Regions from separate parts of the Mus musculus genome. Here regions 2 and 3 are each reported to be linked to region 1. Evidence: microRNA targets listed by miRTarBase, many of them from high-throughput screens and not tested one by one. Region 1 holds a microRNA gene; each other region holds the end of a gene's coding sequence.

Region 1 (4,386 bases):
ATGTCAACCAGTGTTATTTGCCTATGCACCTGGAAAGTCCTCAACTTATCTGAGTGACCAGCTGCCCTAGGATTCCCCTCAACACCTCTTCTGCCACTTGAGTGGACTGTATGTCATGCATGATGCTCAAGGTGAGGGCACCCAGGTGCTCCCTGGAGAAATGATGTCACAGAAATAATCATTTCTGATAGGTTGCTTCAAACTTACCCTACTCTTTCACCAGTATACCTAAAGTTTTTTCCTGAGTTTTCTTTTAATTTTTTTTAATCCTGTTTTGCCTTACTTGCATTCTTATTGTGTCACCAGATCTAAATCGCACTGCCATCTTTGGCTAGTGTCACTCTAACTGTTGTAGCCCCTTTCTGCCCAGAAGGATGTAGTAAAATCTCAAAGAAGGAGAAGAAAAAAAGGAAAAAGGAGTATGAAGAGGAGGATAATGACAAGGAGATGAAGAACAGGAGGAGGAAGAACAAAACTACACTTGAAGGGACAAATATGTCCAGAAATCATTATCACCAGTGTCACTGCACTCACATACACACACACACACACACACACACACACACACACACACACACACACACACACCATACATTTAAAGATCCCAAGATACAATGATAGTAACCAGGAAGGAGCAATATACATTTCATTCCTGTTCTTGGATGCAACTGGAGCACCCTTCAGGCTGGCATAACTTTCTGCATGATACTTAGGTCTGGACAAAGAGTGGAGATAATTTGTATACACTATCAAAAGCAGCAGCAGCTGTCACTTTGTCCCCAGAATTTGCTGATAACTGCTTATATGCCTGGGGTCAAACATGAAGTCCAACTCTGCTTTCAATAGGTGTACCCCTTATTTTAGGAACTCAGCAAGATGCATATATAGAATTCCTTCCCAGGAAAATTGGAGACTATGGATTCTAAGGAAAGGCTCTCTAACAGACCTGGTTCTTAGCCTGGTGCTCTGAGTATGGGGACCCCAGACCATCACAGTTTCAGAGTGACTTCTGTCAGAGCAGATATTATGCCTCCAATGTGTCTTGTGTTGGAAAGAGGGAATTAGTGGGAGACCTGAGTTTTCCTGTCTTTCCCTTTAATTGAGGGGCGGGTGGCGTATAATCTCTTTGTGACTGTACAGGAACCTCAGTTAGACCAGGAGAGATGGAGCTAGAAGCAGACCTACCTGGATGTTGTATACCAGAGTATTGCAACATGTAAGAGCAGAGCCTCCTGCTGCCATGGTAAGCAGAACTCTTGTGCCCCTGGGATTGGCAGCACTATATGCTGGTTTGGAATCCACAGCCACATTAGTACACCATGAAGTCAGGAGTGAGATGAATCTCCTACAGGAGAGTTGAAATTTATGAGACCTGGGTTGAGTCCTGTTCTGGAAGTGGTTATTTTTGATAAATGTAGCAAAGTTAGGAAGACCAGGTTCTTGACCAAGACTTGACTTTGGGCTCCTGGCCAATCCAGGACAGAGAGCTGGAGTTCCCCCAGAGCTATGATAAATTTCAGATCCAAAGGACAAACTGGACTCCCCGAGGATAAGTGTGACCAGAGGCAAAGTGCTCCCTTCATGAGTACACTTCAAGTCTCTTCTTCATATTTCACTTCATGAAGACAGATGTCTACATCATTGACAATGAACTTACAGAGGCCATACCTTTGTTCATAAGAGCACAAGTGTATTTACAAAAGAGGTGGGTCAGGAAAATGTTACTAAATGTCTAGGTGTAATAATCCAGGGTGTGCTCTACTTCCTGGCTCCGGAGGAACTCTGATAAATTCGGGAAGTCCATGAAGAGGGAGGGAAGACAACATTGCCCACTGACATCTTCTCCCCATGAATGTATGCTCTTCCTGTTCTCATTGGCAGACGTTGGTCCCTCTGAGACTGGAGAGCAAACTCTCTCCTTAGGCTATCCTAGGCTCAGTTCACGGTGGAGGAGGATCCAGCAGGGACACCTGTGAAACCCAGGGCCGCACAGCTTGCACGAGGTCTCCACTGCAGCCCATGAGGGTTTGGTTTAGAGTAGGGCTCCATGCAGCCCAGGAGGACACAGCTTACAGCAGGCATCCACTGCAGTGCAGAAAAGCTTGGCTTTTAGCCTGGGTCCACTGCAGCCTCCCAGCTGGACTTCCCATGCCTGTACTCATGAAGATGAGGATCAGGCAAGTTGATGCCTCTCCTTCTCCCAGGACACTTAAGGAAACATTGGGCTTGCAGGGGAACTGAAGATGTAGCCTTGACACTACCTAGGAGCTAAGAATAATCAGCATTTGGATAAGTGCATAGCCTGCTGTAACAGCTATTTGTGCCATCACATTTCCCAGAACAGCTAAGAGCAGTGTCTAGTGGATGCTCTTCATGCATCCCCAACTAAAAAACCTCTCTGCAGGCTCCCCTCCCTGCCATGCTCCCGAGGAAAGTACCCGCCACTTGTCAATGGCTCCCTGTAGTTTGTTAGACACTAGTCAACAACCTAGTACAAGAATGCTTTTTCCCAAGTCACATGTATGATAGAATGATTCAGCCAGGCCAGCTCTCACTCCCAAACTCCCCTTTCACTATGTCTGGTCTCGCTGCATATTAGGGGAAAGGAGAGGCTAGCTTCATTCCTCCCTCCCTAGTGAAAAGAAAGATATGTAATTCTTAATTGGACCTCCAAGAAAGCTGACTCCCTAAACTGATCTCACATATCCAGGAAGTCTGATATTTGGGGACTACAGAAGAAATGCAACAGACGCTATCCCGGATATTTGGTGGTTGCTAAAAGAGACAACAGACCCAATCTGTATAGAACAGCTTATTTAGGGAAAACAGCTAACTACCCCATCCTGCCACTCCTAAACCCCTTTCCCACTTCTAGATCATTAGCGGCAAAACTGCTCTTTGCCTGCACACTAAATAATCTGGCCCTGATATGCCCTGCCCAAATGTAGCTGTGTACACTGTATTATACATCCATGCCCCATAATGTGCTATAAATCAGGCCCTGTTATACACATCACTGGGGGCAGCCAGCAGCCTAGTGGTTCAACAAACTCTGACAGACACCTCCATGTCAGAGCCACATACCCACTTTTAGATCATAGGCCTCCAAGGCACAGACCCTTCCAGTGTAATGAAACAGTACCCCTGGGAGGGCATCCTGGAAAGCCTGTTACACAGCAGCACATGTGGCATTTACTGTGGATGAACAGAAATCATAGCAAGGCCAGCTGGGCACCCCTGCAATCCACAAAGAAGCTGGCTATTGAGTACTGTTACACAGCTCTCCAGCACATAAACTTCTAGGTACCATGCTCTCTGTCCTCCCCTTTCTGCAGGCACTGCTAGAGACATAATGGGTCTTGTTAAATAGCCTCCCCCTCTTTGATGACACTCCACAGGCACTGTTATATATCAGGCCTGTGGCAACCCAACCCCCAGACTATACTCACTGTTATTTCCTGAACAACTTCAAAGAACTATGACAGGAATGTCTTGACCCACCAGCTCCTGAATAATAACATGATGACTTACGTTTATTTATTGTCCCTAAACCTTATCTTGCTACCCCACAACAACCTTGTATAACTTCATTAACCCTTTTATTCTAATTCACATTTGCCACGTGTCCCATAACCTCATACTCAGTATATCTGATTTCCTGCATGTCTGGCTGGTGAATCTCTTCCATCTCTCAGTTCTTCCCACAGTTCCTCTCTTGGAACAGAAGACCCATCTTCCATATTCTGTACAGATATAGGCCTGTGGGTCTTTCTTAAAGCTAATGAGAGATGCCTTAGAAGGTGAGGAAGGACAGAGATAACCTACCACAGTACACAAAAATGCTACCCCATTAGATACCTTGTTGGGTGTCAGATTCCATCACCACCAATACCCCTGCTAAAAAACACCCTCAGCCCAACACTCCCTCCATACTGTCCAGCATCATGAGTTCTTGGTGTAAGGTCGGGCTGCAGAAAATTCTGGAGCCATACATACACAACTAAGTACCAGGTCCCACTGACCTACCCCCTTTCTTAAACCACACATACTGTGTTTTTTGATAGTCCTTCACCATTGTCATCTAAACTACAGTGGTGTAGGTGATGCCCTCCTGTTAAAATTTATACAATTCAGGCTTTTTAGGACTACACCCCCAGGCTGACATTTCACATACAATGCTAGATATCAAAGTCTTCTAGACACACGTTCACCTCTTCTGCTTCCCTACAAAGACTACTAGGCACCATGCCCAGTTGAACATACAAGGGCCATTGCCACATACACACATCTAGGTGTCAGGCATGTAGTCTTCCTACTCCACAATACAGTTAGAAGCAGACCTTGCAAAATATTCCCCTGTGCTTATACCAATGCCACAGGTGTTTG
Region 2 (3,000 bases), not on the chromosome of region 1:
CTGAGTCTGGCCTTTCCTCACAGCCTTCTTTCTAGAAAGATACATTTGTAGTGTAAAACTTAAGCTACCTGTGTACTACCCAAGGCTCTATACTTTATGAAACCCAAGTTTGTAATGAAAGGATCTTAGTATTAACCCAGATATTCCTAAGACTTATTAAGAAATTTACTCTCTTAAGTAGCTGATTTTTTTATATATATATAGTAGAGACACAGTAGTCACAGTGGGGTGGAGGAACTATGCATTGTTTTTACTCTTAGGGTTTTATTCTCCATTAGTTATGTATGTCATTTATTGTTATTTTGTTTGCTTTTTTTTTTGTTTCGTTTTGGACATGCGTAGATGGGAGTACATGCATTCTCCCCCAGAGAATTCCAAAGAAGCTGAAATTCTGGAAGTGTTGCGCCATCCAAAGGACTGGGTGCACTGATGCATCAGACAGAGCCTTGCTCCAGGGCCTGGTGGACACAGGTGGTGTCTTCGTGCACTGTGGCCACTGTGTGGCAGGCAGTGTCTTCCGTGCCTTACTGTCCCCGCCTTCTTCACCCTGGGCACCCCGTCTGTGGCAGGCGGTTTTGATCTTTTCCAGTGCTGTGGGAGGAGGTGGCTCAGAGGTGGGTGGGGATGTCAAACTGTCAGATTCCTTGTCTGTGACATCCATTTGTACTTTTAGAATAATTTTCTGTGACCAGTCAGTTTGACATTGTGTTTCCAGGTCTTTGAGATAAGGGAATGTAAATACTATGATAGGTACCAGGAAACTCTTCATTTTATATGTTGCTTGAAGTTTTAGTTTTTGCTACAGAAGTTTATCAGGGAATACATTTTATCTTCATTAGTTCAGTCAGGATGCCCTTCTTGGGAACTTTGGAATGCAATTTGAAGCCAGTCCGTGGTGATGTTTGCCTTTAATCTCAGTATTCAGGAAGCAGAGGCTGGTGGATCTCTGTGATTTTGAGGCCAGGCTATTCTACAAAGGGAGTTCTAGTCCAGCCAGGGCTACACAGAGAAACCCTGTCTTGAAAAAGAACCAACCCCCCCCCCCAAAAAAAAAAACGAAAAAAAGAAAGAAAGGAAGAAAGAAAGAAAGCAATTTGAAGAAACATGTTTTTCTTTGTTGCTTTTGAAGTTTCTTTGACGTAATTTTCATGTATCTTTCTCTATATTCCAGAATATTATAAAAAAATACTCATTTTTTTTTTAAAGATAGCTATTTAAGAGCTCTGGAAATTTTCTTTAGTCAGTTTTTGTATTATATAATGATGACCTAGTTTACAACTGCAGATGGCATTATTATTATTTAAATAAGTGATATCTTCAGTGGTAAGGTTTTTGTGAGATCATAATTAGCTAACATTAGGATTCTATGTAATTTTGAAAGTGAAAGCTTATATCCCTGGATTCTGATACTTAAAAGTTTTATATTTTAGAGACTTAGATATGGGAGATTAGCCTAAGGACAAATGAAACACATTTTTTTTCTCTTTAATTAAAGAGAATGGAGTCTAACCTGGGCATTTTATATTTTTTATTTAAAAAATGGGCCAATAGAAATTGTGTTACTTTTTAAATTAGAGATTCTTCAACTTTTATCTTTTCTTTTAAAAGTCACAGCAGATTTCTTTTTCTTTCTTTTTTTTTAAAAATTAGGTATTTTCTTTATTTACATTTCAAATGCTTTCCCAAAAGTCCCCCATACCCCCCCCCCACTCCCCTACCCACCCACTCCCACTTCTTGGCCCTGGCGTTCCCCCGTACTGGGGCATATAAAGTTTGCAAGACCAAGGGGCCTCTCTTCCCAATGATGGCCGACTAGGTCATCTTCTGCTACATATGCAGCCGATTTCTTAATGTGTGGTTTACTTGTCTAAATAATAGTCTGACTGCGCTATGTTACTTGATTTATAATATATTGAATTTGTAAAGAACAATATTTAAATATTATCCTGGAATATGTTGGATGTATGTGATTGTGTTTGCCACTTTTAGGGTAAGAAAATCTACAGATTCTTCAACATGTCTTACATAGATTCAGCTAATAAATTTTATTATAACATAAGAAAAGTATTTGTTTCCTTTATTGTGATAACTTAGTACAAATATTTCTCGGTATAGTAGTAGTTCTTTATTACTAGATATTTTACCCAAGAGAGAGATCCATTTTTTCATTTTATTTTCTTAGCCATTTTACTAAAAATAGTTAAAATTAAAAACTCAAGTGCAGATTAGCAGGTAAATGGATAAACAGTTTGTGACTTATGCAGACATTAAAACTCAGCAACAGAAAGGAGTACTGCCTGAGAAATGCTAGTGTGCAAGGCATCAGGAAGATGTCAGAAAAGTGCCTGCTGTCCAATGTCACCTGTGAAGACTTCACCAGGGAAGCAGTCAGCGGCTGCAGGTGGGGCACTAAGGTGTTACCTGTTCTGTGGCTGAGGTGACAAAGGTGATTATACTCTGTACATTTATCAAATTCCCTTGAACTCAGCATTACAACATCAGAGAATTTTCTTATATCTGTAGGTAACCTTTCAGTAAAGAAAGACATAAGAACAGATGTTCACATACCCCTGTCTGGATACCTTTTAAAGAGCTAAAAATGTCAAGCTGAGCATATGGTTTAATGGCAGAGCCTGTCTAGCATGCATGAAGTCCTGAATTTTATTCCCAGAACTGGGGTGGTGGTGGTGGTGGTGGATCACAAAGATCCCTGGCTGATTTAATTGTATTTAAGGCTTGTAGGTGTTAGACACAGACACAGATGAAGTTTTAAAATCCTACCACCTTTGTTTGGATTCTTCAGTATCCACTCTGAACTCTGTCTGGAAGACCAGGAACAGATGTAAACCTGAAGAACATTCTTTTTTTTTTTTTTTTTTTTTCATTTGCTACACACACACACACACACAGTTGCTTCAGGCACACCAGAAGAGGGCATTGGATCCCATTACAGGTGGTTGTGAGCCACCATGTGGTTGCTGGGATTTGAACTCAGGACCT
Region 3 (3,000 bases), not on the chromosome of region 1:
ATCAACTAACAGAATAAATAAATACAATACACGGTGTTTTGTTTTTTGCCAAGGCTTTGTACAACCTCTAAGCACAAGTGGTCACAAAACAGCTGGTTTGAAAAGCAGTCTATACAGCCAGTCAGCCTCTGCATAGAAATGGGGACCCAGGCCCCTGAACCATGCTCTAGGGAAATGAGGAAGCAGGGCAAAGGAGACCTCAAACAGAGCAGAGACATACAGGACTCTTCCTAGAAGGGCTTGTAAGGGTTTAATCCTTGGGCTCTCTGCCCTAAGTGACCAGCAGGCCTGAGAGAGATTCCATCAGCAGTGTCAGGAAGGTGGGCTCACCCACAATTTCTTCAAAGAATCGTGCCCTCTAATCCTCCTAAGAAGACATGGTCATGAAGATAAAACCCACGTGTGTCTTCCCTCCCTTCTCTGGCCTTGGGGATTTGGGTCAGCACATGAGAGAACACATGACAAAGATCTAAGAGAGTTTAGAAAAGCCTGGGATAGACCAGGCTCATGTCATGACCAGATATGACCTCAGGTGGCCTTGCTCTTTAGGAGGTTGGGAAGGCTTCTGGAAATGGTAATACCCAGAAGTGTTAGATCCCAAGTCCCAGTGACAATCAGTCATTTGCACCCAGGAATAGAAAGACAGTTTCAGCCCTGCGCCTGGTTCCAGATGAGACAATACAGAAACATAATTTCTTGAAGCTGACCACAATAGGGTAACCATGGATCGATCACTGATCCCTCCCTAACCCAGAACCCCCTCATCTCCCTAAGGATTTGCTAACCTCTCATCTCCCCGTCCAAGTCTCTCCTCCTCTGATGTTCGCAGATTCTAGAACCCAGGAAGATACCCCTTCTTAAGAAACCCTCAACTGACTTTGGTGCTGCTGCGTGAAAGTGGGAATGTGAGACTGCGTCCTAGGCTCTCTGCCTCACCTCTCACGAGGCCAGTCACCTTGTGTTCCGTGGCTCACTTCTCCTGTTTCTTTCTTTCATGCTTTCCTGTCTCACTTTTTACTGGCTAAAACCTTCTCCTACCCCAGTCCAGACTGACATTACTAAGGTGAGCACTATTGGCTCTGTAGGCCAGTCGTGCCAGGCCACCACTGTGTGGGCGTGGGGTTGAGGGTTCTGTGGCGAGCCAAAGGGTTGCGGAATCATAACCACGAATCTATTCAAGTAATCTTGCCCACCCCTCACCATGGGCAGGGGAATGGAGTAGCCCCCCCCCCCAAGGCTCACACTGGAATCCAAGAAAAATAGGATCAAATCCAGATTGTCTAACCTAAAAAGGAGCCATTTACATTTACTGGGAAACAGAGGCAGTATCCACAGAGATCTTCAGGTATGCAGGACTCACTGTTCCTCAGCAAAACAACAGTAATGTTCTAACTTACAAACTGGGCTTCTCTAAGTGCTTATGCTGCAGTTATTATTATTAAACTTAATTAAAGCCTCTGCCATACAAGGTTGTGGCATAGAACACTGGGTGGTTGGAAATGGACAGAATCTTCTAAATCATCTTATCCAGACAAGACAGTCCTAGCAAGCTTGAAAGGGCGTCCACAGAGCAGGGTTGCCTAGACATAGAAGAACACACCCTGCCATGCCAGTGACTAACGAGACAGAAGCGCCTACTCCCACACCGGCCTCTGCAACAGGAAGCCAAGTCCTGAGACCGTATGTAGCCATAAGGGTTCACTCACTGAGAAGGGATTCTAGAACCCTGCAATGAGGTCTCTGTTCTACTGCGGCTGCCCCTCTGCAATCTGGGAGCGGGTACTTCCAAGCAAAGAAAGAGAAGAAAAGGTGACTGTGAGCCCCTCCTAATATCTGGAGATGCTGTGGGGTTAGAGCTACCTCCTGCCTGTTGCTCCTGGGTCTCCAAGTAGGACTTTGATGAATCTTGGGGCATGGAATGGAAGAGTTGCCTAGAGAGAGTTCAGGTTAAGGGAGGAGATAGCCAAGCGGAGCAGAAGAGAAACAGGAAGAAACAAAATGACTAAAACCAAAACAAAAAACAACAACAAAAACAAAAACAAAAAAAAAACCTACAACCCCCAAAAGAAACACTGTTTGAGAATACTGGACAATAATAAAGCCAGCACCAAAGGCCAAGGGTAGGTAGAGGGACAGGGATCAAGACAGAGGCAGTGGGGCTGCAGGGGAGGGGGGATCAGGAGAAAAAGGAGGATGAGAGAGAGAGAGAGAGAGAGAGAGAGAGAGAGAGAGAGAGAGAATCTGCTGGAGTGAATCTCAGGGGCAAGGGTAGTGGCGATGTGAGAACAGGGAAAGGGGGCCTGGGGCAGGCAGTGCCTGAAAATATAGTTTTATATATTTATATTTATATCTCACATTCCACACTTCAACTTACTAACGGGGGGGGGGGGAGCAGGAGGGAGGAGGCAATACTGAAGAGGGGGTGTAGCCAGTTGCTCCCCTCCTCCCCATTTGACCTCCATGGGGTCCAAGCAGGGCCATGCAGAGGGTGTGTGGGTTTCACTTGGGATTGGGACTTTGAATAAGGGAGACAAGGTGAAAGGACTCCAGGCCCCAGCATCCCTGGGCTCTCAAAGTTAGTTCTAGGAGAACTTGGAGAGCCTTCTGAGAATAACCATGGGACCGAGACAGGGGTACACCCAAGACCATGGTTGGGTTAGAAGCCAGACAGTCAATTGGGGAGTGTATCGAGTCCCAGGGATGCGGCGTGCTGCTTGGCCCGGAGGCGAAGGTTTTCAATGCTCGTGGTTTTACTGTTCAGGGCAGCGGAGGCAGGTGCCAGGCCTGTGGGGGGCGCCGGCAGCAATGGGGACCCCCACACACCCTGGTGGGCAGCAGCAGCTGCTGACAGGGATTGGTAATAGGACTGGCAGTGTAGGGAGCTCAATGGGGCCATGTTGACCCCTAGGTAGGGCACGGCAGCCGCCGCAGCTGCAGCCGCCGCAGGTGCGGGACCGCCCACTTCAAAAGACGAGTAGTGCATCAGGTTGTTGGTGGCCG

What was found. Region 1 holds the annotated microRNA mmu-miR-683 (CCUGCUGUAAGCUGUGUCCUC, at 2,059-2,079, opposite strand). A microRNA usually pairs through its seed, bases 2 to 8, with sites in the 3' UTR of a target mRNA and lowers its output. Matches are read on the target gene's strand: a 7mer-m8 pairs with bases 2 to 8, a 7mer-A1 pairs with bases 2 to 7 and ends in A, and an 8mer does both.
Region 2: miRTarBase lists Cpox as a target of mmu-miR-683. Seed matches in the 3' UTR shown: 8mer at 1,611-1,618.
Region 3: miRTarBase lists Dmbx1 as a target of mmu-miR-683. Seed matches in the 3' UTR shown: 7mer-A1 at 2,241-2,247.

What each region holds. Positions count from the first base shown.
Region 1 is chr13:50,598,932-50,603,317 of GRCm38, forward strand. Mir683-2 (microRNA 683-2) reads right to left here and starts at 2,149; the gene lies at 2,041-2,149.
Region 2 is chr16:58,678,328-58,681,327 of GRCm38, forward strand. Cpox (coproporphyrinogen oxidase) reads left to right here. Exons shown (of 7, transcript NM_007757.2): 7 at 343-2,064. The coding sequence ends at 430. Among named protein-coding and RNA genes, the nearest start is that of Cpox, 9.6 kb to the left of the region's middle.
Region 3 is chr4:115,915,280-115,918,279 of GRCm38, forward strand. Dmbx1 (diencephalon/mesencephalon homeobox 1) reads right to left here. Exons shown (of 5, transcript NM_001025567.1): 5 at 1-3,000. The coding sequence ends at 2,672. Among named protein-coding and RNA genes, the nearest start is that of Dmbx1, 23 kb to the right of the region's middle.